4 linked regions of the Rhinolophus ferrumequinum genome follow. The protein of the gene in region 2 purifies or fractionates together with the protein of the main gene of each other region. This does not show direct contact. Links are inferred from orthologs where the notes say so. Each region holds a gene or a part of one and is shown on either strand. Other genes may lie near its edges.

The links.
Region 1: the proteins of DERL1 (region 2) and TMEM129 purify together in Homo sapiens (affinity purification with western blotting; 3 studies listed by BioGRID). This does not show direct contact. The link is inferred for Rhinolophus ferrumequinum from reciprocal best matches to the Homo sapiens genes DERL1 and TMEM129.
Region 3: the proteins of DERL1 (region 2) and SERPINA1 purify together in Homo sapiens (affinity purification with western blotting; 4 studies listed by BioGRID). This does not show direct contact. The link is inferred for Rhinolophus ferrumequinum from reciprocal best matches to the Homo sapiens genes DERL1 and SERPINA1.
Region 4: the proteins of DERL1 (region 2) and FAF2 purify together in Homo sapiens (affinity purification with western blotting; 4 studies listed by BioGRID and IntAct, with this or other methods). This does not show direct contact. The link is inferred for Rhinolophus ferrumequinum from reciprocal best matches to the Homo sapiens genes DERL1 and FAF2.

What each region holds. Positions count from the first base shown.
Region 1 is NC_046288.1:87,241,137-87,248,552, reverse strand, and holds the start of TMEM129 (E3 ubiquitin-protein ligase TM129), read right to left. Parts: upstream 3,014-7,416; 5' UTR 2,902-3,013; coding exon 2,364-2,901; intron 828-2,363; coding exon 353-827; intron 1-352. Other genes in the region: TACC3 (transforming acidic coiled-coil-containing protein 3), read left to right, coding at 4,830-4,991, 5,134-5,273, 6,598-7,416.
Region 2 is NC_046297.1:60,505,726-60,512,671, reverse strand, and holds the start of DERL1 (derlin-1), read left to right. Parts: upstream 1-3,940; 5' UTR 3,941-4,223; coding exon 4,224-4,376; intron 4,377-6,946. UniProt on the Homo sapiens protein: Functional component of endoplasmic reticulum-associated degradation (ERAD) for misfolded lumenal proteins. Forms homotetramers which encircle a large channel traversing the endoplasmic reticulum (ER) membrane.
Region 3 is NC_046289.1:8,778,384-8,786,396, forward strand, and holds the start of SERPINA1 (alpha-1-antitrypsin), read left to right. Parts: upstream 1-5,013; 5' UTR 5,014-5,121; intron 5,122-8,013.
Region 4 is NC_046307.1:6,067,497-6,075,230, forward strand, and holds the start of FAF2 (FAS-associated factor 2), read right to left. Parts: upstream 3,007-7,734; 5' UTR 2,944-3,006; coding exon 2,881-2,943; intron 1-2,880. UniProt on the Homo sapiens protein: Plays an important role in endoplasmic reticulum-associated degradation (ERAD) that mediates ubiquitin-dependent degradation of misfolded endoplasmic reticulum proteins.

The sequences.
Region 1 (7,416 bases), on a different chromosome or scaffold from region 2:
GCAGGCCAGCCATGGCCTGAGAGATGGAGGACCTCAGCTCCAGCCCAGGCCCCACAGGTGAGGCAGCAACACACCTGTGCTGCCCAGCTCCCAGATGTCGCAGTGTGCTCCCCTGAGAAGCTATGGAAGCAGCTCAGAGGACAACGTGCATGAAAGGGGAGCGGAGGATACCTGTGGGGGCAAGAGGGGGGCAGGGGGCCAGGGAGGGGCCCTGAGGGAGGGTCACACTGGAGGAGCCACTCCCACCCATCACCACCTCCCAGAGGGACACAGACACCGGAATGGGGCACAAGCTGGGCACACGCCCGCCCGTGAGCCCCAGCCCGCCCTGCCCCACCACAGGTGTGCCTACCTGATGTCGAAGGCCTGCACGGCAGGGCTGGCACTGGCCACACGGATGGTGAGGAGCTGCACAGGCAGGTTTGAGTCCGGTGACAGCTCATGCTGCTGTGACTCTGTCACAGTCAGGTGCACATCCTGTTGCTGGGCCACGTGCACACGGTATGTGGTCACTTTCATCACCCACGTGTCCGTCACGATTACACGGGCACCCGGCGCCCCAGTGGCAAACTTATCAATCCGCCGGAACTCAGTGTTGACTGAGGAAGCAACAGCCCGCCAGCCTGACTGCGGGAGGGCATAGAGGGCCAGGGTGCGGGCCAGTGGGTGGCGGGCCCACCGGTCCCGGGACCAGTTGTAGGTGAGGCTGCAGGCGATGGTGGGCAGGGTCACCGCCAGCAGGAGGAAGAGCTGCCAGGCCTCAGGGGCCTGGCTAGGGGAGTAGAGCCGCTTCTCCGAGGCTGCAAAGCACATGCCCATGTAATAGCCTGCAAGGGACGGGGCGGCCTCAGCAAAGGTCGCATGCCAGGCCCTCGCCCTGCCCTGGTGGTGCTCACCAAGAGCTGCAGTGCTGCCCCTGCACCACCCAGGGGGCCACTTCCTTGCGTCCCCAGCCCTGGGCCTGGCACTCTGCCCTGGTCAGCTCCCAAGGTGAGGCTGTGTACCCGAGGCCAGGTGAGTCTCACGGCTGGCCAGGTTCAGCCCTTGCCCATGGCACTGACACAATAAGTGAAGGAAAAGCATTTTTAATTTTCACACAATACGTGAGTACGGAAAACTAGAAAAACCTAGAAAGGCAAAATAAATACTAGGATCTGGTGTCACCCTCTGCAGAGCTGCCCACTGGCCCCCATTGGCCTCTTGACCCCACACCCTCTGAGGAGGCTTATCCTAAGCTGGCCCATCATGTGCCAGACAGTAAGCAGAGAAGGATGGGGGCACCTCAAAAGAACACAGGAGCCAGTGCCCGGGCCCCTGCAGGCCAGGTGGGGGCCATCTGCAAGTCAAATAAATGAATGAAGCAGATAGCGAGCGGCTGCACAGGCAGGTCTGAGATTGCAAACCTAATAGTAAACGTTTGCTGTCGGTCAAGTCACTACCTTTTAGGATAATTTGTTAAGTTGCAATAGGTGTTCGATCTAGAAGCCTCAAAGCTTTTCAAAATGAATTTAAAAACAGCCCTGTGTCTGGGCACCACCAGGCTTCACCACCTCTTCCATGTGTGGCCACCTTAATCATGCAGACACCTAAATTCTGGATTCCCACAGACAGCCCCCATGCACTTGCAGCCTCAGCCCAGCCCCCTTCCGGCTGCTCTCCACGTCCGCAGGACTGCTGTGCCCAGCTGCCAGGTGAAAACCACTCCCTGTGTCCACAGGGCTGCAGGTGGGGCCGGCCACCAGCCACCTGCTGTCCCAGACCTGCTTCTGCCATGTCCTCCAGAAATCCTGACTAGTACCCCACTCTTTAGCCAGTCCCCCGACCAACCGGAAGACAGACTGGCCTCCCATGGGCCAGCTAGCACCTGGGTCAGCGCCCAGCACAGTCTCTGGATAACCACTGAGCATACTGGCCAAACACAGGCTTTCCAGTCTCTGCACCTGTGACACCTTCACGTGGTGTCAACCATCTCTGCCTGCCCTTTCCACACCCACCTTCCATGGCCTGGGCAAGGCCACCTCCTCCCTGTGTTGGAATCAGTTAATTTGTGCTCCTCTCCTGGGTAATGCCACCCACGTAACATTTGGCGACCTGCCCCAGCTGGGGGAAACATCCCCTCTAGGGCTCTGCCACCTGCAAACGTCCAGCTGTCGCCGGCTGTAAACACACGGGCAGTCGGCCCACAGCCTCGGCTCTCGGGGCGACCGGTGTTCCCGGCATTCTCTCTGACTATTCCCCAGAGGGAGGTGACCCCGCGACCCAGCCACCTCAGGGGCCCTGGGGCTGGGCTACGCGAGCCCTTGACCCGGCCAGCTGCCTCCGTCCACCAGGGGAACAATGACCAAGAGCATCAGGCGCCTCACCCAGCGGCAGCAGCGAGTGGCACAGCAGCGTGGCAGCCGTGCGGCGCAGGTGGTAGGGCACGAAGGCGGCATCCTCGCTGCCCAGCCAGCCCGACAGCAGGTTCTGCACCGTGAGCCCGGCCGAGTGGAACTCGGTGGGCGTGAACACGAAGCACACGGCGAACACCAGGTAGGCCAGCGTGAAGGTGACCTCGGGACTGTCCATCGCGCCGCCGCCGGCACCACCAAGCCGTCGGGGCAAGGCCGCCGCCCACGGCGCGGGGAACAGGCCCGAGCGTCCGGGTCCCGTAGGCGCCGGGGGATGGGCGCCGGGTACTGTGGGAGATGGAGTTCCCGTCCGCGGGGCGCTCTGGGAAATGGAGTACCGCCCCGGGCAACGCTGGGCGCTCTGGGAGACGCAGACCCCGCGGAGCACTCCGGGAAATGGAGTTCCCCCGCCCCGCACACTGGCGTAATCTGTGAACCCGCCCGCCAGTCCTCCAAGGGTTTGGCTCCTCCTCACGCCCCGCCTTGAGGGCGGAGCTGTACCTGGTCCCATTTTACAGCTGGGTAAACTGAGACCCGGACGAGCGGCTCAGGCCCCCCCTTTCCGCTCAACCCAGTCACGTCCGCAGCAGAGCCCGAGAGCTCTGGTCGACGGCGGGGCCTGCAGCCGTCGCCCGTCCGCCCGCTCGGCGAGCCAAGGTCCGGGAGGCTTTCCGACTCCCGCCTCGCCCAGCGTGCCCCTAGCCCCGGAAGCGCAACCGACGGCGCGGCCTCCCATTGGCCGCTGGCGCCCCGTGCGTTCCGCCCACGGCCGCGAGCTGATTGGCCGCGCGCGCCAACCGTCGGTATTTGAATCGGCGGCGGGCGGACGCACCCGGGACTCCGCGCCTCCCGCTCCGTCTGCTCCGTGCGGCGGCCGGCAGGTAAGGCGGCGAAGTCCCTCCGGTCCCTCTGGCGTCAGGTGGGCGCTGGCCGACCCCCACCCCTGTCGCTAACTTCCCTCTCCGGCCCCTCCCGCGGCTACTCCTCGTGGGCCGCCGCCGGCACGGCCGCTTCTTCCCGGTCCCCGCCGCCCGTCCTTGCCGCCGCCCTTCCAGGCACATCTCCCTGGTCCTCATCCCACCAGCCCGGCCGACGCTCTCCGGCTACTTCGTCTCCTGGTCGCCCTCCAGAAGGGTCGTCCGTAGGGCACGGGCCGCAGGCCTCCTGCGTCCCCCTGGAGACCTCGTCCAGCCTCAAATTCCACCTGTAGCGGCGACTTGCGAGGGCACATCTCCGCCCCGCCCGCAGCCCCCTGCTGGTCCCCCACCCGACTTCTCATTCCCGGCTGTGCCTGGCCTGCCTCCCTTCTCTGGGGGCGGCCCACCTGGGAGCCATTTCCATCACGGCGACACCTGGGCTCGCGCCCTCCCCACCACAGCACTCCACGCAGGCAGCTTCTGCTCGGGAGCTTCTCCCGCGGTCTCTGTCGTTAGTAGAAGCCAAAGCCCTGATAGAGGCCGCCATCGCTGTACTGCCCCCTCCCCCCCACTTATACCGGTTACACCGGCCAGAAACCTCAGTCACCCTTGTCTCCTGTCTTTCTTCTTGCACAGTGCGGTGGGCCTGCTGGCCACGCCAGGGCTGGCCCCTCGGCTTGGGCCCCGCTCCTACTCCCTCCAGGGCCCCTGGTCTTGCCCACCTCCCACTCTGACCTTGATTTCCAGGCTGCCCCCGTGCTGCAGCAGCCCCCAAGGCCCCCACCATCAACAAGTTCCGGTAGTGCTCTTTGAGCAGGTCGGTGCTCAGCTCTATGGCAGCTCCTAGTTTGGGAGTCATGGCCGTGACCGTGTGGAAGACTCTGGCAAGAGTGGGCTGTTCTAGAACCTTGTGGGCCTGACTGGAGGCCCCTGGTGTGATTCTGAGATTCCAGGACCTCATATAGAAGGTCTTCAATGCCCTGCTGAGTAATTCTGCCCGTGGCTGCTTGTTCCCTCCAACTCCTCCCCTGGGCCTTTGCCCTCCTGACACCTTCTTCTGGTCCCCCTTTTCCAGCCCCGTGAGGGTGACGGAGCAAGCTTCAGCACCCTTCTGCTTTTCTGTTCTCTGCTGACTTGGCCACCTGCTCCAGCCCTGATGAGGCCCCGGCCCCCTGAGTGGAGGCCTGTGGGGAGCCCCACCCTTCCTCTCCTGCAGTTTCTCCAGGCCAGCACTTACCTGTCTCCTTACCCACCAAATCTGACTTAGTGCGAGAATCCGTTCTTCCTCCTTACCCTGTGGGCTGAAGGCCCTTCTAGCTCTTGGTCCTGGGTGGTGGCAGCTCCCCAGCCCAGCTAAAGAGCCACAGTCCCCCAAAGCAGGACAGGGACTGGTAGAGGACACGCTGCCTGAGGTGTGACCCTCCTGTGCTGGACGGGTGCATCTCCCTGTGACACTGCAGGGTCAGCTGTCATCACGTCTGCACGACGCAGCCCTCAAGCTGACAGAAACTGTGTTTCCAGAATGAGTCTGCAAATCTTCAATGACGAAAATGTCACTGGTGACAGAAGTACAGAAAACTGCGACTTCCTGTTTTCACCACTGGAACTTACCGGAAGATCCTCTGTTCTCTGTGTGTCACAGAAAGAAAATGTGCCGCCCAAGAGCATAGCCAAAGCTATGAAGGTAAACGTTTTACCCATATGAGACCGACCGTGTGTCACTTTGGGACCTGGTGACTTACTGAGCGGGCGGGGCACACAGCACTGCCAGCGGGGTGGTTGGAAACTTGAACTATTGAACAGGTGCTCTCCGCCCTCCCCAACAGGTGACTTTTCAGACACCTCTGCGAGACCCACAGACACACAGGATTCTAAGTCCTCGCATGAGCAGCAAACTCGAGGCTTGCTTTGGTGTGGGCGACACCATTGGATTAGAAAACTCACAAGTCTGGACCGAGAAAGAGAAGTAAGTGTCGGTGCTCTTGATGTACTGCAACATCTCTGATGACTTGGCAGGAAAACGCTGTTGGCTATCTGTCACGTCTGTGGGGCTTCTCCTGGTCTCACTCTGAGTGTGTGCAGCGCGTGGCCCAGAGCAGTCGGCACCAAGTCATGTGTCAGTGGAAAGGTGGATAGTGAGCTTGTTTCAGATGCCACTCCCCTGTCATGCCCTTGCCACCAAAGTGGCCTTGGTTGTTGCTTCTCTAACTTCCTGAAGTGTCCTGACCATGTCTCCAAGGAAAGACATGCTGTGGTTTTCTTGTTTTGCATTCCACTGGGGTCTCCCCTGCCCCATGTTCTTAATATCAGGCCGTAGAGATAGGTGTTCCTTTTGGAGACAGAGGAGTGTCTGTCGTGGAATCTGGTCAGAATACAAGTGGCCGAAGGGATTGGGTTTTGAACACTTGACTTTAACCAGGAAAAGCTTCTTGGCGGCCTCGCCAGGCATTCACTGTCTGGCTTGGGTATTTGGAAAGAAGGGTCCTGGAGGCAGCTCTTTACCCCCAGAGTGGGCTGATAGGGGGGAGGGGCCTCACTGGCACACTTTTGAGCTGACTTCTATAGATTTAAACTGTTCAAAACTTGCCTTTATACAGATTTCAGACGTACAGAGAAAGGTGTACAAGCAAAGCATCACTAACATATCCTTCTCCTCACTTAAGTAAAACGCCCACAAGGCCCTGCTGCCATCTCCCCATGGAAGCTTCTTGAATCAATCTTTTCCTCTCCCCAGGTTTCTGTGCTACTTTTCAACTTCACTATTGTGGTTTTCCTTTTGAGATTCAACTGAAGGAAATTAGAGTCATTCAAATATTGTTGTTTGTAACAACCCAAGACGGAAAGGAAACCCGGTTGGTGGCTCTGGCGCTGCCTCCCCTTCAGGGTCCCACCTGCTCAAGGGCAGGAGAGCAGAGGCATGGGGGGGCCAGGAGAGGACCCCGAGAAGGTGACCTGGCTGGAGGCAGCCCCTGTCTTCCTCTCTCTGCAGTGAGGAGCTGACTCTCGTGTGCCATGACCGTCCCTGACTGTGTAGCCGGGGACCCCCGACCGACGGGGCAATAGGCCAGCGTGGTCACCTGTGTAGCACCTCCCTGCCCTGTCTCTCAGTCACCTGGGTGGCCCTAGGTGGCCCCCAGCAGCAATTGATGGGAATATGCTTGTGTAACAAGGAGAGGGTTGACTAAATGTTCGTTTTTGCTGTTTTTAGCTAATGTTTTCAGTGTGGACCGAAAGCTACACAGAAAACTAAAACAGGTTCCTTGGTGTTAACTAAGTCTGTTTCTAAAAAGCCAACAGTTCCCCATGGAAGTGGACACCAAAACGACCAACGGGACCCCTCAGAATCCGGCAGTAGCTCATGCCACCCCCCTCCCGGAGGACCTGGGACCCGCCTCTGAGGACAGGCCTTCCAGTGGGCCCACCTCCACAGCCCAGGCCAGCCTGCGCCCCTCAAGCTCTCCCCAGACCCCAGCGAGTCTTGAAAACCAAGTGGCATGTGCAGGACAAATGTCTGCCAGCCCTGTGCAAGGCTTGGAGGACAACGGTAGTTGTGATTTCCTAGAGAAAAGCGTTGCACCCGCCTCCGACATCCTAGAAGATCCTCCCAGGGTGGGAGTCCAAGGCAGAACGGAGGAGCCTCAAAGAGCCACAGGAGAAAGGGCGAGCGGAGCCGCTGCTTCATCAGCCGAGGCCGTGTTGCCCCCTGGTACTCACCCAGAAGTTGCCCACAGAGAAGGCCCCCTCGGAGGCCTGCTTGGAGCCCTGGCCATGCCCCCAAGTTCTCAGAACACAGAGGCCGAGGGCCAGATGGTCGACTCTTCAAGGAGTGAGCCCAGGAGGCTAGAATGTGACTTCTCTAACAATGCCACCAGCAAAAGGCCACCCCCACCCAGGGACCTGGGGAAGAGAGCCGACCCCCAGCCTCTCCCAAGACCAGAGACGAGGCAGGAAAAGGCCCTGGAGGAGGAGGGTGAAGGTCCCGTTCCCCCTCCCCAGGGGTCTTATGACCCGGACTGGGGCAAGCTGGATGACCCCAACTTCAGCGTGTCCGGAGGTGATGGAGAAACCCAGCCCCAAGAACACCCCCAGAGCAGGCCGGTCTGGCCTAT
Region 2 (6,946 bases):
AGATACAATAGACATAAATGATGTCAAGAGCATAGATAATAGTGAAACATAGCATAATAATTAAGGTTGTTTTGAATATTTACTATCCTTTAAAATATAAGTTATTTGAGTCTAAGTTTATATAATTCAATTTTTAATATTGGCTGTGTTTAATAAACGAGTCACAAAATTTCTGAAAATTCAACAAATCGCTCCTATCAGCCAATAGGAGCCGGCTCCAACCCACTGCTTCTTACTCACTTTCATCAATTTAGACACGTGATAATGTTTCAGAGGAAACAACTACATCCTCATGTTTTATAATCGGATTTGAGGTGGTAAGAAACCTTACTTTACGCATCTCTCCTACTTTGCCCTGTTCATCTCTCCCATTCGGCTTTTCCTGAGTTGTACCCTTTATAATAAACGAGTAATAAGCTGTTTCCTGGTAGTGATGGCAATAGGGCTCATGTCTTTGCAATGGCTCAGGCTCCTCCTTAGTGTGCCTTTCTCCAGGTGTGTCACCAACTGAAGGCCTTTGAGAGTTTTGTTTGTGTCTTAATTCTAGTGGGATGCCAACACCAGGGGGATGACTTGGGTCCAACGCCAGCCGATGAGAATCCTGTAGGTACGTGCAACAGTCTGACACTGACATTAGCTTAGTTTTTTCTTTGATTTAGAAGGAAGGCATTTCAGAGTCTCGCAGCCCTTCCTCAAGGCTTATTTTGAATGAATATCATTCACTATTGTTCTGATAGGAATATAAACGATGCGTTGAGGAATATAAATGATGAATAGCAATAATTATTGCTTGGATTACTGTTACTTCGTTGACTTTGGGTTTGCAGAATGGTTGAGAGAAGTTTGATAGGGAAGGGATTATTTTCTTTCAAATACTTCCTACGTGAACTCTGGTCCAGTAGCCTGGTTCCCTTATCTATGAAACTGAGTGTCTGCCACGTGCTGATCCTTGGTGTTGGTTACTAGAATAAAACTAGTTCCCTATGAGATGCTTTGGAGTTTTTCAAGAGCCTTTACATTTGTCACAGAGGCACAGCAGAGTGGTTCAAAGATGGACTCAAGTCAGACAGACCTGGATTTGAAACACCACTTATAGTTACATGACCTTGAATAAGTTAGTTAATCTGTTTCTCAGTTTCCATAAAAACAGTACTTCCCAATGAGGATGTTAGCGTGAATGTTAAATGAGATGATGCACGAAAAGCACAAGCATGGAGCTTGTTAAACAGCAGGCTCTCCATTCAAACAAACAAACAAACAAACAAACAACAAACAACCTTGATGTAGGGGGCAGGTAATGCTATTTTCCCATCGGGATGAGTCAGCTAAGAGGTTAGTAACTTCCCCAGGGTCACACAATCAGCAAAGGACAGAGGCTGGACTGAAACCCACACTGATTCCTTTACAGCCTGTAGAATGGTGACTTTATTTAGTACACACACACACACACACACACACACACACACACGCGCCTCAGAATAACAAATGGGAAATGCTTTCTATGCTGTTCAGTCACCTTCTTGTCCCCCAGTCCAGTGTGTCAAAACTTAAAAATTTTCCAGGCTTATAACTGACTGGTTCTGCCAGGCTTGACAGATAAATTATTATTCTTGCCATAGCTTCTTCATCTGCAAGATGGTGCTAACGAAACTGTCTACTAGTTAACATGGGGATTAATTACATCTTTGCAGTGTACTTCGGATTTCTTGAAGAAAGATGCCACTTACGTGGCAGGCATCCCACTAGGATGGTGTTCCTGTATGACTGTTGTGACAGAATGACATTTGAGTCATCGGCCTGTCAGCATCACTAAGTAGTACAGTGCTAAACTCAGTGCTAGGCAATTGTTGCCTAAGCTCAGTGCCCTTAATTGTTGGTCTCCCTCCAATTTTTTGAAGGCCTGCTTTTTTAGAGAGAGAAACAAAAGGAAATATATTTCAATTACAGCAAGAAAGACATAGTTCAGGTCATCTTTTCTAGTTGTCAATCTTTCTAAAATGTTTGACATTGAACCGGCTCTTTTCGGAACAAACGTTTCTACAGATTTTTAAAATTAATTTTTAAACACATTGTACACACAGTTGGGACAAAATTTAAAAGGATATGCAATAAAATGTCTCCTTCCTACTCTAGTCTTGCCAGCCTGAGTTTCCCTTCCCAGAAGTAACCACTGTTTCAAGCAAATACTGTGTGTGTATTTGTGTGTGTGCCTTCTGTGCAATACAACTGTGTAAAAACATAGTACACACATTGTACTATAACTCTTCTATTCTTAATGCTCTGTGTTGTTAGAGAGCATTCCGTTTTGGGGTACACAAAGTTATTTTTTTCTAATAAAGTTTGCATAGTATTTTATTGTATGGATAAACCATAGTTTATAGTCAGTTTAGTGACAGATATTCAGCTGTTTCCAATCTTTTATTTCAAAAAATGCAGCAATGACTATTCCTGCACATTAAAAAAAAAGTTGGATAAGAAAACATGAAATAGAGCCATTTGCAACAACATGGATGGATTTTGAGATTATTATGCTAGTGAAATAATTCACACAGAAAAAGTTGAGAACCATATGATTTCACTGATATGTGGGATATAAAACTGAAAGCAACAAAGGAACAAGATAAACAAAGAAACAAAAACTCACAGACAATTTTAGTGGTTACCAGAGGGTAAGGAGGGAAGGGGATGGTAGATGAGGGTGAACGGGGTTATATATATGGCATTGGAAGGAGAACTGACTCTGGATGGTGAAAACACAATGTGATATATAGGTGATGTATTACAGAATTGTACACTTGAAGCCTATGTAATTTTACTAACCATTGTCACCTCAATAAATTTTAATTAAGACAAAAAGTGGGAGTCTACCTAAAGCTTAAATGCCCAGCAATTCATTTAAATATTGCCAAATTGCTTGCAGTACCAACCTACGTGTATATCCTCATTAGTAATTCAGGAGAGTGCTTATTTCCCCACACCCTTACATATCCCCCTAGAATTTAGCTTGGTATCATTGTTTGATGTTAACCATTTTATATATAGCCCTGCTGTGCTTTGAGCCTACCAAAGCAAATTTACATTTTACCAAAACTCCACCTTTCCTTCTAATCCACCTAATCCACCTTTCCTCCTATCCTCTTTTGTTTGGTGAGATGTCCCAGGTTCCTCTGGCTTCATAGAGCTGACTCACTCTGTGGATTACGGGTGTGTTCCTAGAGGTCGTTACTGGATGGCTTAATCAATCTTAAACTGTAGGACCTACATCTGAAAACAATAGGAAGAGTTCTACTCCATATCTTTTTACAGATTCTTTCAAAAACAAGATGATTGTCATTTACCTGTAATTTAAGTTCTTCCTGATGAACTAGTTAAGATAATTTGTTTTCAGTTCCTCCAGCATTCCACATTAGTTGGAGTGGCTGTTTTCTCAGCATAGAAAACTCCCCAGATCTTTGCCTGGGGGGGCTCAGTTCAAATGTCACCTCCTGCGAGTTCTCCCTGACCATTCTCATTTAAAACAGCAATTTCTCCCCACACTCCCACATTTCCACCCCACTCTACCCCATTATCCTATTTTATTTTTCATATTTTTCTCATCACTCTGAAATTATCTTATTCAATTGTTTATTATGTGTTTAATCCCATTAGAATATAAGCTCCAGGAGAGATGGTACCACAACTCTAGTCGCAGTACCTCCGGTGTCTAGAACCCTAGCTGGCACTTAGTAAGCCCTGAACAAACACTTGTCGAATGAATGGACAAATAAGGAACTATGTTCTTTATTTTCCTCCTTCCCCTTTAAACACGCTCAGAGTGGACCCACCTGAATGCGTAAACCAGGCGGAGGACGTTCAGCCTCGCCATTGGCTGGAGTATTACCGTTGCTCCTGGCAACCACTGTTTCCCACCAGTCGTGTCGCCACCCCGCCGGGCCCGGCCTCTCATCGCCCCGCCCCCAGACCGCCGACCATCGACCCATTGGTAAAAAACGATGCTTGCCCTTTAAGCGGCGGGACTTCTGGTCAACGTCGTTCGCTAACGCCGGAAGGGGAAGTTTCGCCTCCGAACGCTCCCTCGCTCGTCCGAATTCGGTGGCGCCACGTCCGCCGGTCTCCGCCTTCTGCACCGCGACACCTGCCACTCGCAGAGCCGGCCGCGTCGTGAGGGGCCCGGGACGGGGAGTCGGGCGGCGGTGCGCATCCTGGCCACCTAAGAAGCGAAGATGTCGGACATCGGGGACTGGTTCAGGAGTATCCCGAGCATTACGCGCTACTGGTTCGCCGCCACCGTCGCGGTGCCGTTGGTGGGCAAACTCGGCCTCATCAGCCCGGCCTACTTCTTCCTCTGGCCCGAAGCCTTCCTCTACCGCTTCCAGGTACCGACCGGCGACGCGGGGAGTGGAGACTACAGGTCCCAAGCGGGTGTCCGCTGGCGTAGCGTAGACCAGCATGTTGAGGACACGCGGTGCCTCTTGGGATTTGTAGTGCGACCGCTCAAGCGCTTTTGGGCGGGGTCCGGTGGTCTGGGGACGCGGTGGCGGCCAAAGGGTTTGGAACAAGGGCCTGGATAGCTGGAGGGGTGGGGACGTGGGTTTGGCCGGGTGGGAAGGGACTGATTTAGTCCTGCTATTAAGACTGTGCTCCCTGGCCTCTGCACGCAGAGGAGGCAGTGGGAAAGGAAGTCTGTGACAATTGTCAATCTGTTGTACGGTCTGTTCTACTAGTGGTTAGCAGCCTGGGTTTACTTGGAGTAGGTGCCCTCTGACCTCTGCCACGTGGGTGGCATAAGGCTGTCAACTTACCCAACCATCCAGCTGAGTTCCTTTTGTGTTGGTGGAGTTTTTTTTTTTTTTTTTTTTGTTTTTGTTTTTCCTGTTGGAGTGATTTGAGGTCAGAGGTGCAAAGAGTGAGTTTGTTTATCTGCATTTCTCCCAGACCCTGACTTAGTGTCTGGCACGTAGCGGTTGTATGTACAAGGAATGAGTACAGAGTTAATTGCTCCAGAAATGGAAGGCCTTGTTATTTTTTTAAGCATGAAGGAAACCATCCACATTTACATTCCTGGCAAGAGAATATTAGTTTCCTGGAGGTTGTCTTTACTCACTGGATTCTGTGATTTAAATCTTTAATCAGTGGCAGGTCAGATACTAAGAGCTGACATTAATTTCAACACATAACGTGGCCTATAGATAATACTCGCTCGTTGGCCTCTTCACTGGCTGTTTCCTAGTCTCCTTTGCTGCTGCTTCATCTTCCTGACCTTTAGATGTTATGATGAGCCCCAAGGATCAGTTATAGGACCTCTTCTTTACATGCCCCAGAGCTGTACGGTGATCTCGTCTAGCTTCATGGCTTTGAAAACTTTCTATAAACTGAAGACTCTCAAATACAAATACATGTATTTTTAGTCCAGATTTAGCTGCTGATTTCCAGCCATCTATTTGAAATTACCGCTTGGGTGACTGATAGGCACCTCAAACTTAACATGGCTCAGACTGGATACCCTTTTCCCCACTGCACTGGAAGTAAATAGAAACTGCATTATTACAGGAGCTCAAGCTAACAGCCATGGAATCATCCTTGACTTCTCTTTCTCACACCCCACCGTCTGGCAGTAAATTCTGTGTGCTTTAGACATAGATCCCGAATAACAGTCACTTGTCATTCACCATTGCTAGCTATTATCATTCCAGCCTGTTCCTTTCAATCTTTTCTCTAGACAGCTGGAGTGATCCTTCTAAAATATAAATCAAGTCTCCTGTAAGTCCTCTGCCAAGAACCTTCCAATGTCTTCTCAACTCATTGAGTAAAATCCAAGTCCTTTCAGTGGCCTGCAAGGCCCTCTGCTTCCTCTCTGCCCTCATCTCCTGCTACTCTCCGCCTTCCACGTTAGGCTCCACCGTGGAATCCTTGCTGTCGCTCCGGCAGCTGACTTGGTCTCTTGATCTCTCGCCAGGGCTGTTTGCACATAGCATTTCTCTGTTTGAGGGAGCTAACCACGGCTTACCTCCTTACCGCCTTCCTCTTTTCCCAAACCATCTTATTGGCAAGGTCTTATTTGATTGCCCTACATAAAATAGTACCCATCTTTCACTGAGTCTCCCTTACCCTTAGTAGTTTTTGCTCTCACTCCTGGCTTGGTATTAGTCCATTTCCCTTTAGAAAATACGGCTCTGTGAGAGCCAGGTCTTTCCTTGCTGACCACTATCTTTGTTACGTAGAATAGTGCCTGGCATAGCAGGTACTTACGTGTTGGTTGACTGCATGGAAATAATTGGAGGTACGATAGTGAATAAGCTGGAAAGGGTCCCAGCTACCAAAGGAGGAAAATGAGAGAGGCATGTGATAGAGAGTGACTTAAGGGGTGTATCATTTGGTAGCGTGTTCCAGAAAAGTCTCAAAGAAGATACCTGAACTGAAACTGGATGATGAGGAGCCATCTTTGGGAAGACCTGGCTCTAGGGACAGTCTTTTGGGAAGAAGAAATAGTCAGCTTAGAAGCAGGTGCTGGAAACAGAAAGTAGACTGGATAGCGAGGACAGAGTCAGCTGTGGGGGTGGGGATTGGAGATGAAGACGCAGAGGCAGCCAGGGGTGGGTTTAGTAAAGCGAGGATGCAGAACTCGGCCTGGGGCTCGCTCGCATAGGGCCTTGTAGTTTGGACTGGATTTCATAGTCACCAGGAATGCTTTGGAGCCTTCAAACAAGCACTGCCAAGTGGGATGGACGTGGGCTGTGGGAGAGGGAGGAATCCAGATAGGAAGTAAGAGAGATGGTGTTTTGGGCCAAGATGGCTGTGAAGATCGAAGTGGGTCGCTTTGGGAGTTGGAGTGGGCACGCTTGCAGCTGAATGGATGTGAAGGGTGAATGGAATGGGTGCAGGAAGCAGGACTCAGAAGGTGTCACTGTTTTCCCAGTGGGTGATGGAGCCCCGTACTCAGATTGGA
Region 3 (8,013 bases), on a different chromosome or scaffold from region 2:
ACAGGCATGACTAGGCTCCCAGAAAACCTTACATGTGGACACTGAAAACTGAATTTCATATAATTTCCTTGTGTTACAAAACATTATGCTTCTTTTGATTTTTTTTTTGTCTCAACCATTTAAAAAACGTAGAAACCATTCTCGACTTGCCGACCTTACAAAACAGGCAGCAGGTCGGATGGGCCTGCGTTGTGAGCATCTCGCTAACTCTCTGTGCCTCAGTTTCCTCCTCATCTGTACTAAGGGGGTATTAATGGCACCCACTGAATGCCATTCAAACAGCGCCTGGCAAACAGATAGTATGTGCTCAAGAAATATTAGCTATGATGCAGATAGGCCACTCAGTGGAGTCAGTTTGGGGATTTGTATTGCAAAACGAAAGCAGTGAGAGACTCGTTAAAACCAAGCAAACAGAAATGCTTAAAATCAACAGGAAAAACAACAAGGTGGATCGAACCATTGCAACCCAAGGTCCGAGTTGGGCAAGTTTTAAGAGCCCTATTGCTCTCTATTATCTGAGCCACCCACGTAGGGCTTCTATTTCTGAAAAACAAGTCCCAAGGTCCTTGGGGGGTCTCCCACAGCTCCCCAGAGGGTCGTTGATGCCATGTCTTGGGACAGGAGAAAATGCAGATGGGCCTGGGACACATGTCATTGCTAGAAAACAAGCGTGTGCTTTCTGAAATGTCAGCAAAGATTGCTGAAAGGTGAAAGAGATAAAGGATCTCCTATTCATCAAAATATGACAACTTGAGCTTCTAAAAGGAAATATCAGAACTAGTTAAATAGGACAAGGTCAGTCTCCTAAAAATTGAAAGTCCATAATGGCCACAATGGCCCATAAATTCAAAGGGGTAAAATTAAAGTGTAGAAAAGGTTAGCTTTATAATAAAAACATTAGTGCTTTTTTTTTTAATTTTAACAAGTAGAGGATGAAGCTAGAGATGCGTTCTATTCCTTCTATTAACTATAATGTCGCTTCCAGTGCATAGATTTGTCTTCTTATTCGCTGAGTAAGGATGAGGAATGAAGACAACACGCTGTGAATTAGCCAAATAGTTCAGAAAAAGCAAGAATCAAACCACACACAGGAAGTGGCTCCAGAAGAAAGAGGAAGGAAACAGGGCCCACTAGGGGGATGCAAGTTGCAAGATTTGCAACAAGTCACGAGAAGATGAACCAGTGGTGCAACTTCAATTCATCACCTGGAAGTTAAAAGCTAGAACCTTTGACTAACGAGCTATGAGAAGACAGACAGTGTCGGTTATGCGAAAAGAGCAGGCCTGGTGTTAAACACTTCACAAGCATCCCCTCATAAGAACTCTAAGAGAAAGACTCATATTATCCCCATTTTACAGATGTGAAAGCTGAGGCTCAGAGAGATGAAAGGAAGTCCTCCTCTGAATCCAAGTTGGCCCGGCTCCATCCACCCCATGCCCAGTTCGGCCCTCTGGACCTCACACATGCTCAGAAAGATGCAATTGCACCTGGGCCTGTGCAAGCTCTTGGTCCCGGGACAAAGAGTGCTGCCCCCCAAATCTTCCTCCTGCTCAGTCCCCTGAGACCCGTTTGAAAGGCTTCCCAGGCCCAGGACACATTCCCAAAGAGCATACCGTGGTTGGCATTGACTTCGGGCCCATCTGTGCCTGAGGCCGCCCTAACTCTCGTCATCTCATTGACTCTTTGCAGTCCTGGTAGAAGTAACCATTCTTCTCACAGATGAGAAAACTGAGGCCCAGAGAGCTAACGAGGCTAAGACCTCACAAAAAGAGAGTGGTGGAGTTAAGGATTGAACTCAGGTGCTTAGCAACCAAGTCCACACCTGCCCCATACTGCCCCCTGAAGAAGAGAGCCAGTGCCTGGAGGGGCAATCCCATAATGAGCATGGGGGATCCAAGAGTGGGGGTACATGTGGCATATCTGTGTGTGTGCATGGGACAGATTGGCTCCCGCACTCCCCAGGGAAGTCTGCCAATGGGTACAGCACCCCTAAAGTTCACCATCGCTCTCCTGACCAGTCCAGGTCTCTGGTCCCTGATGTGCTTAGTCCAGGGCCCCTCGCACATTTCTCCCCTCTCTTCCTGTTGCAGAGCTCACGCCTCAGCTATCAGGTTTCTCTCCCTCCTACTCCCCTCTCTAGGCAGGACCTATGGAGGGGAAGGGTGTCCCCAGGTTCCCATTATTTACAACCAGCCTACAGGATCTTCCTCTGATGCATTCACTCCTAGGGAATTATTCCAGACGTTGCAATTGACGATTCCAGAAGTAACCGAGGGGACAAGACATTTCCTACCATGCTTTGTGGTTCATGGGACACAGTGGCTTCAAGAATGGCCACTGGGTTCCCCCACCCCAGGAATTTTGTGCCTTCTCGGTTCCCAGATCCTCTCACCCCCTTCTTCCCAGGACGTGTCCAGGAGACCTCTCTGCAGAGGAACGGGGAGTGAGGGAGTGTGAGGATGAGGGTAAGGAGGGGCTGAGCATAGAGCCCTTGACTCAAAAGGGACAACCCTGAGCCCCTCACTTTCTCCAACTCCTCCCGCCCCCTCATCTTTCTTCATTCCTCCTCCAATGTTCTGCACTCCCGGTGATGTCTTGCATCCCTTCTGTACCCAGCCAGGGTCTGGGACACACACAGACCCCTCGCAGCCTCCATGGGGCTCCCATTGGGCAATTCAGAGGTGGCTCATCCTCTTCTCTCTACAGCTGGCCCTGGAAATCTGCCAAGATGCTGGTGCCAGGCCCTGGGCAGGAGGGGGATGCCTGTCATCCCCATTAATCCTCTGAACTGGGTGCCACCATCCCTCTTGCAGAGGAACTAGGTGACTTGTCCTGGGTCACATAGGCCAAACAGAGCAGGAATAGCAGGTGACACACAGGACTGCCCGGGCAGGGAAGGGTCACCTGATAGCTATTGGCAGCTTTGTGCAAGGCAGCTTCCTGCCCCAGTTCCCCGCCCCTCCCAGACCTACTGCCCCCACCGGCCACTCCTTCCTCCTAGGCGGCAGAGACTGGGCACTGTGCTTGGGGCACGTGTGGCCTGCGTGCTGCAGCCCTCAGCACCCCAAAGCTCCAGAGGAAGAGGAGGAAGAGCAGGAGGTTGGGGCGACAAGAGGCGTGGCCACCACAGCACTCGGAATCGGAGGTAGAGGGAGGACAGCCCTCCTCTCAGTCCCCAGGCCACTGGGCTGAGGGGGCCGAACTTGGCCATAGCCTGGACAGTGGGGTGCTTGCTGTTGTCCATCCAGTGCGAGCGGTGGGAGGGGTAGACAAGCTTGGAGAAAGGCCAATGTACAGATGGGGAAATTGAGGCACAAGGAGGAGAAGAAATGCCCAAGAGGTGTGGAGGGTGGCCTCACCTCAGCCACAGCCTAGCTCTCTAAGCTACAAATAGATGTAGAGCTGTGGGGGAGACGCCCATTCAGCCAGCTCAGGGGGAAGAGTTGGGGCCCTGAAACCAGATTGTGGAACTGGGCAGTCGGGAGGGGATGGACCTCTCATGCAGTCGCTCAGTGCAGTACACTGTGAGGGGGTGTGCACCACCCCCATGCAGGAGCAGAAACGAGCTCAGAGAGGGACGGCTCCCCTCCCTCACGCCCTCCGCTGGGAGACCCCCTGGCACTGGGGGGTGGGGTGGGCGTCCTGTGCACACCAACACTGGGCTCTGAGCTCATTTTGAGCTGCTGCATTTAATCCTCATAGCAGCTCGACAAAGTTAGTACTGTCGTGATCCCATCATACAGATGGGGAAACTGAGGCACAGGGAGGTTAAACAGCTTACCCGAGATCTCATGGCCCATGAGTGGGGAGCCGGTTCCCTGGTCTGAACCTGTGTGCTAGACGAACCTGCAGGTCACTCACCTGGCAGAGTTCCACAACTGAGAAGGGAGACAAAAATGTACTCACCCATGCAGTCATTCAACAAATACCTGTGGAGTACACACTATGTCTCAAGCAGGTGTGGGTGTGGGGAGGGGGTACAGAGTGCGATGTGGTCTGCCTTAGGTTTTTAAAGGGATCGCAGTCAAGTGGGGCCCTACTGGCCTCAACCCTGCACCATCACCCCCGACCTCCACCAGGGCCCCTAAGGGCCTGCAATAGAGCTGGACCGGGGCCACATTCCTGAGGAAAATTCCAGCAGTATGTGGATCGCACTGGTCTGCCAGGAGCCACATCCAGCGGAAATAGACAGGTCTGAGCCTGGCGGGGAGTTGAGCCTCCTCTTGCCCAGAGAAGCATGGAGAGCAGGGCTTCCAGAGGGTTGTGTAGACCAAAATAAAGAGCCTACTGTGGCACTTTACATAAGCCATTTTGTGTATCCCTGACAACCATGGTACCGTAGGAAGTAGGACTTCCAAACCCTGGTGGTGCAGGTGAAAACACCCTCTGGTTCAGAGAGGTAAAGCAGTGTGCCTAAAGCAGCACAGCTCTTCTTTCTAAATGTACTCTCTGACCCCTGACCTGTGCCCACGGCCACCCAGCCTAAAATGGCTACGTCCCCGTCAATCAGACCCCCCGTTTCAACTCAAGGAAGTTGAGTGAGGTTTTGTATCTGACTTGGAATGAATAGCCTGTGTGTTATGGGCCTCAGTTTCCCTGTCTGACAAGTGGGCACATCACCCATTGCAGCCGCCACCCCTCAGCCCCCCCACACACATACCCACTGCTCATGGCAGCAGTGCGTCAGCAGCAGCAGGTATTTCAAGGCTGCTCAGTAAATGGCAGCTCTCGCTACCAATAAGGCAGCCATGGAGAACTCCCCAGTGCAAATGTAGGGCCAGGACAGTAATGTTGTCCCAAAGTGCCTGACTCACGCCACCCCCACCTTGGATGCAGGATGCCGCGATTTACGAGCGGGACAATGATTCCCTTTGGTCTGTGGAGAACGGGCTGTGCGCTGTCCAGGGAGAGCACATACAGGCAGCGTGGGCGGGCAGCTCATTGTCAGGAGGACGGACTTAGGCCCTGTTTGCTCCTCCGATAACTGGGTTGACCTTGGTTAATGTTCACCAGCAGCCTCCCCCATCGCGCCTCTGGGTCCACTGCTTAAATACAGACGAGGACAGGGCTCTGTCTCCTCAGCCTTGGTCACCAGCCCCGGCCCAGGACAGTGAATCGTAAGTACGTATGCCTTCTGCTGGGGAGAGTCTCCGGAGGGGGCTTCGGGGTCCCTGCATACCCAGGCAGCACCCCACCGTCACCCCCGCCAGAGATGTATGGAAAGTGGAGTGGGGTGGGGGGGGCTCCTGTCGTCATAGCAATAGCATCCTTGAAGATCTTCTCCTGCTCCCCAGAGCCTGCCCAGGGCCTCCCCAGTACCTACTGGTGAATAAACTGGCCCTCGATAAGCAGAAGTGGAGGTGGCTGTGGATAAGCAGGCTGTGGTGTCCTGGGACCCAGGAAGGAGCATGTTTCTGTTGGCAGAGCTGCACCCTTCCTGCCAGTCATCTCCAGTAGGCCTCCCCTCCCCTACTGCTTGGCTGGGTATCTTTTCCTGTGCTACAGATGAGGAAATTAAGGCCCAGAGAGGGACAGTGGGAAGCCCAGGCTACTGAGGGGAACTGGTGGGGAGGCCAGTCCAGACTAGAAGCCCAGAGTCCCAGCTGCTCATCGGGCCTCCATCCTCTGCAGAAATGCTCAGAACGGAGCTGTGCCAGGCTTCAGCCTGGAGGGATCAAAATGGGCCTCCCTGTGCACTGGCCCTGGGTGTCCTCATGCACAGAGCAAGATGGGAAACGCTGGGAGGGGCACCATCATGGGGGCGCCGAGCGGTGTTCCTGAGCCCTCCCTCTGACCAGGTGGCTGCTAGGCTTCTTGTAAGCAGTCCCACATTTAAGCCCCACAACAACCTTCTGAAGTAGTTACCGTGGTTACTCCCATTTTATAGATGAGGATAGAGAAGTTTATAACTTGCCCCAAATTACAGACCATCCAGGATTCAAACTCGGGGCACTTAGCTCCAGCACTCATACTCCTGATCCACTTCTTACTGCGAACATTAATTCTCTGGGGCCTTGGGCGCCATTTGGGACGCGGGAAGCCCGGGCTGGCCTCGGGCCTCACTGGTGCTGGGCGGTCTCAACTTCTCTTTCCTCTTAGGCAATAGATAGATAACCTTTGCCCTCTTTCTTCTCACCCCAACCCACTGGCCTTGACCTCTGGAGTGTTGAAGGATATGATTTCTTTTTTCTGTCATTGGATTTTGGAGCTAGTGCTACAAAGATGACCATAGCCAAGGCAATTGGACTCCCATATAGTGCTCTGAAAGACCCACAACGAAATCAATATCAACTGATGCTTCCTGAGAGCTGACTGTGTGCCAGGCATTTCTTGGCACTTTGCGCATATTTAAATTGCACAATAACTCTATGAGGAAGTACACCCTTATCATTTCCAGAAAACTGAGGTTCAGAGAGGTTAAGTAACTTATCCAACATCACACAGCTGATAGCACGTGGAACACGAGCATTCTGGCCTCGTAGCCTCTGAGCTTAGCCACAAAGCAATGCTGCTCCTCTTGATTTAGCCAGGACACCTCTGCATTTTTCTGTTTCAAGGCTTCTGGCTTCAGCTTGATACATAGAGAAAGGCTGAAAGCCAGGTTCTGAAATTGAAATGCCTAGGGTTCAATCCCAGCTCTGTAAGCAACTAGCTCCATGGTTTTCAGTAAGTTACTTAACCTCTGTAGGCCTCAATTTCTCCATCTAGAAAACGGGGCTAATAATAATTCCCACCCAAAAGGGTAAGCTTTGAAGGAAGATTAGATGAAACAGTGCATATCAAGTACCAGATATTTGCGAAGTGTGATGATGACGACAGTGATGTGATGTTTGCCGTGCATAGCGTTTGGCAGCTAATAGGCAATAAATAAATATTTAGAGGATTGAATTTAAAATTTTCCAAACTCAAAGGTGGTTCATTGCTGAGCAGGGGCTCCTTCTCTGGTCCTGGGCAATGTGGTAACTGGCCAGGAAGAAATCTGCCAGTTCTCAAGCGTGGTCCCTGCCTGTATGCAGGTATAGGGAGGCTGCCATACCTGGTAGGTGCCATCACCTTGTTTGTTTCTCACAACTGCCCTGTAAGAGATTCTTTTCTCCACTTTACAAACAGGAAGATGAGGCTCAAAAAAGTGAAGTCACTTGCCCAAGGCACTTGCCTGTAAGTGGCAGAGCTGGGTCACACCTGGGCTTATTAAATGCCAGGTTTCAGCAGGTTGTGACCTCATGCACAGTTGTTTCCCTGAAACCCACTAGGTCACCGTCAGCCACTCGTTTCATGCTTCTGGGTGGACACGGTATGAGATTAGCCAAAAGGGATGGTTCCCTTCATTCTACCCTACCTGCTACAGACTCTGGAAACATCATCATGATGTCTTCATTCCTTTGCTTCATTCCTTTGGTCCATACACCTCCGGATGCCTCACTTCTACTTTCTCATCTTGGGGTGGCTTCCCTGGCACTAGGCTTTGGGGAGGGTGTGGGGTGCTGCCTTTGACAGAAGGGCGAGGAGAGAGCAGAAATCTTGGGCCCCCAAAGTTGTAAGAAACAGATTGGGAGGCAAAATAAAGCCAACAGGAGGCTGAAGGTCAGGGTCCCTTAGGGCCCAATGCTGACAATCGTAGAATCTGAGACCTGAGGACATGGCTGTCTCAGTCTGTAGTTCAAGTGGCGAGAAAACCAAGGCTTGTTCCAGCTTTGTCACTGCCTCACTGTGTGGCCTTGGCAAGGCCCTGACCGGCTTTGGGCTTCACACCCCTTACTGTAGAGGGAGGAAGCCGGAGCGGGTGATCTAACACCCAGGAAGATGGACTGGGGGCAACAAGCGCTCGCCCAGTTGTAGCCGCTCTCCACCTCAGCCTCACGGCAGGCTTGCCACCTTCTAAGTGAGAGGGCACCTCACCACATCCTTCCCCATGGGACGTCCCAGTCCAGTTTGTGCCACCTAACCTGGCTGCCCCTCTCATAAAGCATCCAACGTTAGTGCCCAGGACTTCAGTTAGGTCTATCCCCACCT
Region 4 (7,734 bases), on a different chromosome or scaffold from region 2:
AAAAATCTTGGAAGACATCAAACGGACTGAGAAGCATGATAAACATATCCTAGGGAGTTGCAATCAAACCACATGTCACAAAAATGTGAAAGAGACGAAACCTGAGATTTCTAAAATATTTTACTTTTACTAATTTCAATATATCAAATGAAGCAACATGTTGAGAACCAGCTCCTAGCAGTTTCACTCTGTTCTGTCCCAACCCCTGTGGGGATTCCAAGCGCATGCCCCACACTCTTAGTGAAGCAAACCTGAAACCTAGTGTTATGTCACTCCCGAGTTGAAAAAAACCTGTGATGGCTCCCATGCCTACAGGTTAAAATTTAAACCTTTCAAAGGCTTTGGAGGCCCTGGCTCTAATTTACCTTTCCAGTCTTATTTTCCACTTCCACTTCTAGAAACCCATCGCAACAAACACATTCCACACTCCATCTCCACACCTTGCTTGAGCTGTTTCCTCAGCTATGAATCCTCTCCTCATGTCCTTCACCTGTTGAAATTCTGTTCCTCCTTCAAAGTGGCCAAGTACAGTGGGTGCAAAGAGCCCAGCCTTGAAGTCCAGAGCCAGAACCACTAGATTTCTAACTCTAATTCCATCTCCACTACTTAATAGCTTAGTGACCTTAAGCAAATATTTCAATAGATCTGTTTCCTTACGGCACTTTTTGCAAGGCTACTGCGAGGATGACAAGCACAAAGGCACAGGAGATACTGATTAACTATTAGCCATCCTTCTTTGCCCCCTTACCCCCACCAGTGCTCCTATCGTTCCCTAAATCCCCACAGCGCTTAGTTTACACCATACCGCACTAGGAGCACTAACACACTGCACGGTACTCGTTCATGTATGTATGTGGCTTCTCCATTAGCTTGTAGACCAAACAGATGGTTATGGGTATGGATCTCTAACTCTCGGCCACTTACTCCTTGTGCAAGCTACCTGACCTCTCAGAGCCTGTTTCTTCATCAATAAATCGACGCGGTTAACACCTTATGGTGTTATTTTAAGAGGTTTGAAAGAGTTAATGTACATCAAATACCTGGTATAGTGCTTGACACCTAGTAAATTTCAAAGAACGTTTAATGGCAATTCGGATGATGAACCTGATCCAGCAACTGCTTAAAGAACACATAAATGTAAAATACATTTGCCTTATTAAATCCAATTTCATAACGCAATCTCAATTCAACTTTAACCTGCTACTCGCCTCTCTTACTGAGAGATGTCCGATGACGACTAAAACAGAGGTTCCTATGCACTTTATCTCAGAAATGCTAGCACGTAATCATGTTCTCCCACCAGCATACTACCAAGTACATCATGACTTACAACTCAGAGCACCACGTTACATTTAACAACAGGGGTCTTATCCCTGAAACGCTGTAGTGGGTAAAACGATCTGCCAAAGTTAAACAAAACTCTGCAATTAGTGGTCTACCAGGAAGTGGAAGCTGTTTATTCATTCTGATTCTAATTTACCGTGTCATCCATTTCTCTACTCAAAACTCCAATCAAATGTCAACTACTTCCAATAGTATTTTTCCACTTATAGGTACACGTCCAACCCCCTGCTCATTTTTTCTGATGTATAATTAACACACAATATTCTATTAGTTTCAGATATCACTACTCAGTTGAAGAGAAAAAAACACTTCAAAATCAATTACGGTAAAATCAAGGAAATTACAGAAAAGTGAGAAGTTGTTAAAAAAAGAAAACAAAAAACCCAGTATCACAGCATTTGCAGTCCACACTCAGTTGAACACTGATATTTATCCAGGTTGTATAGCACACAAGTCAAGAGCTCAGGAAAGGTTCTAGAAAGATGGACCCAGCTTTAAATCTGACACCACCACTTACTAACTAGCAGTGCCTGAGCACTAAGGTTGTTGGTAAGTAACTGCTGAAACGAATAAATATTTAGCACATTTTTACATTAGGAAAAAACGTACCACAAACTTTAATTCTTTCCTAAGTTAAATAATGATTAATAAGCAGCAATACTGTTTGGGAGCATTTTACAGTTTACAAAGTCCTTCAGACATCCATAAACTCATTAAATCTCCAGAACACCCTTAGGGAGCAAACATTTTTAAGGTGTATATTTTAGAAACAATAAGGAAACTGGTATCAGGGTAACAAAGAGCCAAGGTTAACCCACCCTGGTGGTCTCCTCCACCCAGATTCTCCATCAAACTCAGAGAAAAGTGCTTAGTGCCAGAAGTTCTCAACTCCACACCCACTGAGGCCGATTTCTGCAAGTTACCATCCTCCTCAAGCACAGTCAAGCACGTGACTTCAGGACTAAGCCCAGGGTAGTAAACCCTGTCAGAAGCCACTGATGACATTTATAACGTAGCACTTGTCTCCTTACATGGTGTCCTCCCACACCTTTAGGGCGGGAGCCAGGCCCGCCCTTCCCCCACCAGAGCGCCCAACACAAAACCTGGCACCTAAGAAGCCCTCAGTAAATGTTTGTGGAAATGGCATGGGATGCTGGCAGCAGGTTTTCCAGGGACCCGAAACGAGGCCAACTCCGCGGTGGGGATTAAGCATCTCAGGTAGATTCAGAGTCGTTGGGCAGAGTGTCCGACCGGGGAAGGATGGCGGAGGACGGGTGCCGCTAAGGGACATCAGGGAAGCTGACTCGCTGACGGGAGAGGGGAAAGGCGGGTATGGCAGCAGCCAAGGCTGAAGGCCGAGAACCGACAGAGGCTCGGGGGCCAGGGGCAGCAGGGCAGTTGGCGTCTGGGGGGGGAGGGGGCCGCCTGCTGGTCTCAGAAGCAGCTCGGACCCAATCTCAGGAGGGTTCTGGGCTCCTCTGGGGGCCCACTCCCCAGCCCGCGGCGGCACTGGCTGCACCGAGCATTCGCTGCTACCTGAAACTGCAGCAGCTTCTCTGTCTGCTCCTGGGTTAGATCCCGCTCCTCAGGCGCCGCCATTTTGCCGCCGCCTCTACGCTTCTGACCCGTCCGCACCGTCACTCGCCGGAACTGATCTCAGCAGCAACCACATCCGGTCGGAACAGCCGCTGGCGCGCAACTGCATCTGCGCGTCCTGGCCCAGCAAGGAGGGGGTAGAAGGGGGTGGTGGGGTGTGGGGGGTGGTGAGAGTTCTTACCGCCAGAGGGCGCCACTCTCAGACCTAGCTCGAACACTTCCGGAAATTGCCGAGGGCCTGTCGAGACCAGTCGCCCTCACAACCTGGACAAAGAAGGGATCTGCTAAGGACCTAAGACTCCTGAAGAGATCGTAAAGAGCCGAGAAGTCCCGAATGCTTCTCGAGAAGCTCCGGAAATTCCCGAATGCCACAGAAGCTTCGGAAATTCCCGAATCGGCAGATTTCGGCTGCCTCTTAAACGTTTTCCGGGGATCTCCGGTATTCTTGAATGTTTCTAAGGAAATTGTGGCCCTTCCGAAATATCGTTTGATGTTTGACTCCTGCCCTGACGTTTCCAACAGTTCCTCACCATCTCTCGGGAGGTTCCGAAAGCCCCCGAATACTGGTTGCGCATTTCCGACGCCGCCTTCAAGTCCGAAGCCGTTGAAGGCTGGGACCGCGGGAAAATCGCTGCATGGAAGTTGATTGCCAGGATTATTTGGACTTGGCCACCTGGGTCTTTGATGTTTAATTGGCCTACCAGCCTTGGGCGAAGCTTTCCGTCTACCCCCGTGCGACTCTGCTCCTGCTGCCCCAGGCCTCGCGTCTCTCGCCCACTGGCCTGTCTTCCCTGTGACCGACCTAAATAAAATCCCGGGACTGGGATCAGATTTGGGTTCAAGTGCTAGCGCCCACCTTGCAAAGTGATGTACATCTTGGGCACACCACCTCCTCTCTGCGCTCCGTGTTGCCATTGGTGGAACGAGAATCCCCAGTAGCCCCTGACGTGCGGCCTCAGCGCATTCCTTCTAGAATGCAGTCCGACCCTCACCCTTTGCACGGCCTTAACCCTACCCCACACCTCAATGTCTGCTTTCCTCTGCGCGCTCCTTGTCCCTTCCAACCTGCCCCCTCTCTTTAGGTCTCCCTTTTGCGTTTCCACCTCTTTTCTCCTGCCATCCGCCTCCTCTGGCCACTGTCCGGAGACCTTGGGGAGACAGAGGGGTCGGGATCTGACGCATGCTTTTCCACAGACTCCTCCTGTGACTCCTAGGGGTAGGGGAGAGTTGGCTTTTCTCCGCGCGGTGTCCAGGGTACTTGGCGACTCGAACAAAGAATTGCACGAACGAGACACAGAAATAAAATGGTGAAAGAATAGTTTATTAGAAACCATAGTACACTCCAAAGAAATAGGAGCGGACCCGAGCAACAGAGAATGGATTACACTCAACAAGTATGAATCACAAGTTTTAGGGTAATTATCTAAAGCAGGGGTAGGAGCTAAAAACCTGGGGAAAAGGAAACTTAAAATTTCTATAGGAAAGAAAAAAAGTGTTTCAGTGGGGGGGCCTAGGGGGGTTATTCGTTGGCCCGTATCACTAGCACGGCCCCAGTGTCCTCACTATCTGCAGAATCCCACCCCTGCCCACTTCACAGGATTGACCAGGTGAGATAGGACAAAGAGCTTTGAAAGCTAAGTCTTGTGAAAAGTACATTAGGTTTTGGTTACTTCCTTTCAGGCCTGTGTCAGGTCTTACCAGGTCTGCACAAACCTCCATGTCCTGGAATTTTTCTTACACCTTTAAGGTAAAATTGGATGTAAATAGCTGTGACTTTAAAGAATTTATTACATCAACTCAAAACATCTGAGGAGACGTACTGGTCAACATCTCCAATAATGCTCAACCCAGACAAACTGGGGGCGGGATGGCAAAGTCAGATGCCCTTCTGGATTTATTGCGTAATTCTAATTTAAGGTGTACTCTTTTAACAGACATACTTTGTACTTACATTAAACACCATTGGATGTTTTTCACTTTCTCAAAGACACATACTTGTTCTTGTTCTACATTTCTGTTTTCTTCCTTGAATAAAGACAAAGTTACAACAAACAATTTTCCTTTTTGTTGTTGTTTTGTTTTTTTGACTCTTCCACAAGAAATTGCCTCAGTGTAGGGCATACAAAATGGCAAACTGGGGAATCCCTTCCCTGTGCAAAAGTGGTTTCTGGTTTTAGTGGCAGCTGATGGCTTCTGTGTGAGACCAGTATTGCCAGAACTTCTCATTTTTAAAGAGCACCGACGAATTTGGGTATGCATGTGAAATCTCCCTGCTTTAAAATGGTGATAACTCAGTTTTTCGGAAAAGTACTGTCAGTCAGCCATAATTGCAAGCCACGTTTCACCCCATGAGCTCCAGTCTGCCCCTCTGACCTGAGCAGAATCCTTCTTTGCCATGGGAGTCCACACATGCCTTGGAAGAAAACTAAGATTTTTTTGATAAATTCAAGATGAAGAGCATGGAAAGTGTCATCAATTATAGGCTTGATCTCTCCTTTGCGAGCATTTTTCGCCCTTGGCCTTTATTTTGTCTTTTAGAGCAGTGCTATCCAATCAAAATATAAAATATCCACATGCATAATTAAAAATAGTCTAGGAGCCACATATAACAGGTGAGATTAATTTTAGTAATATATTTGATTTAACCCAATGTATCCAAAATACCTTTTGTGTGTGTGTGTGTGTATTATACTAAGCCTTCAAAATCTGGTGTGTATTTTACACTTACCCCACATCTCTATTTGGACTAGCCACATTTCAAGTGCTCAATTTCCACATATGGATAGTGGCTACTGTATTGTAAATGCAGTTCTAGAGCATTCCAAAGATCTTTTTAATAGATATATTAATTATATTCATCCACAGATTTTAGGAATTCATTCAACAAATATTTATTGAATGGCTCTGGACCAGATACTACAAAAGATAAACAGGACACAGCCGCTGCCCTGTAAGAACACACAGTTTAATTGAAAATTAATCTCATCATTCTCTGGAAGGATGTGTGTGTATGGGGGAGGTTTCTGAGTCCCAATTTTATGCCTATAACACACTGGAATTTGTGACTGAGAGGTATCTCCGAGAATCTAATGAATATATGTTTCTCAAATCCTATTAATAAGGCTTTGCTGACACCTTACCATTTTGTTCCTAATAAAGGACAAATTCTGTCCTGCGGAGTCCTGGAAATCCTAGAATAAGCTCTCAATTTCTGAGCAGTTGGAACTTACAGTGTTTCCTGTCAGTTAGGGACGTGGCCTCTTCATTGCAGGCCATTGAGATGTCAGCAACAGTTTTCGTTTGGCCTCCTGCCCCATTAGGTTACTCGTTATAGGTTAAGTGAAGCCAACAGGAATTAAGGTGACTCAACTAAATTCATCCAAAAAAGTAGGAGCAGAAGTGAGAAAGGGAATCCCCACACTCATTAGTACTATATGATAGATCCTTAGATTTCTGCTAGGGGTATTTAGGCTGATGACACAAAGTAAGGTTTGGAGGCAAAGTTCTGCCTTAAATAAGTCACAAAGCCCATCTCATGTTCTTCAGGGAGACCTGAGGACAAACTCTGATGCCACCATTAATTGATTGTGTACTTTGGCAAGGAAACCTCTCTAAGCCTCAGTTTGCTCATCTCTCAGCTGTAAACAGACTAATAGTCCCTACCTCACGGGTCATGGCAAGGATTAAATCATTTTTTACAAGTAAATCAGATCCTGTCACTCCCCAGCTCGGAAGTTTCCATTGGCTTCCCGTTGTCCTCAGAATAGAACCCAAGCTCCTTTCCAGGGCCTACAAGGCCCTGTGCGATCCTCTGACCTCATTCCAGGGAACTCGCTACTTGCAAGCCTTGTTGTTCTCATAATCCCTCGGGGACTTTGCATTTGCAGTACCCTCTGCCTGGAGCACTTTCCTGGAGTTCTCACAGGGCTGACCCCATTTGACATCCAGATCTCAGCATGTGTAGGCTGCATCCTCAGAGGAGACCTAAACGTTTGTTTTCTTCAAAGCACTTAAATCACTAGATGATATTATCTAGTTTACCGTTTGTCTCCCAGCTCTGCCCTCCATGAAGGGAACAGAGGCCAAGTTGGCTTGGGCCACCACTGAGTCCCCAGGGCTAGGGACTGCACTGGGTACAGAGTACAAGGTCTATAAATATTGGGACTGGCTAGATCCTTAGAGCAAAGACCTCACGAGTGTGGGTGGACTTATGAGAGTAAAGCCATGGGAACTAAATCGGGAAATATAGCTACTGCCTGTGGGATAGAGAGGGATGGTCTTTAGAGCATCTCAAATCAAAAGATAAAAGGACCACCTCAGTTTTGGACGATGGGAGACAGAATGCTGATAACAGTTGTCCTTTAAAGCAGAGATATTTTATTTCTCTTCCAAAACCCCAGGTTCATAAAAAATTACATGATTTGTACACTGTGAACAAGTTCAAACAACACCTCAGTTAGCTGGATGGGAAAGGGAGGAAAAGCAGGAGACCTATTTACAGATGGTTTAAATAACCCAGATGCATTTAAATTGTCCCCACACTCAGACTCTATCTGCTTCAGGGGAGGAGGGAGCACGTGTCCCAGGGGACGTAGTGTGATTGCCACTGAACTGAGTGATTACCTTCTGGACACTTTGGGCTCCTTATGCCTGGAGATGGCGGGGTTACCACACCGGCAGTGTGGTAATGCTCCTGATTATGAGGGGCCAGGGTTGCTGTTCCACCACAAGAGTCGGGGGGAGTCTCTCTGGAGCCCCACGGGTTCACTGGGACGTCTCTTGGTACTTCCATAC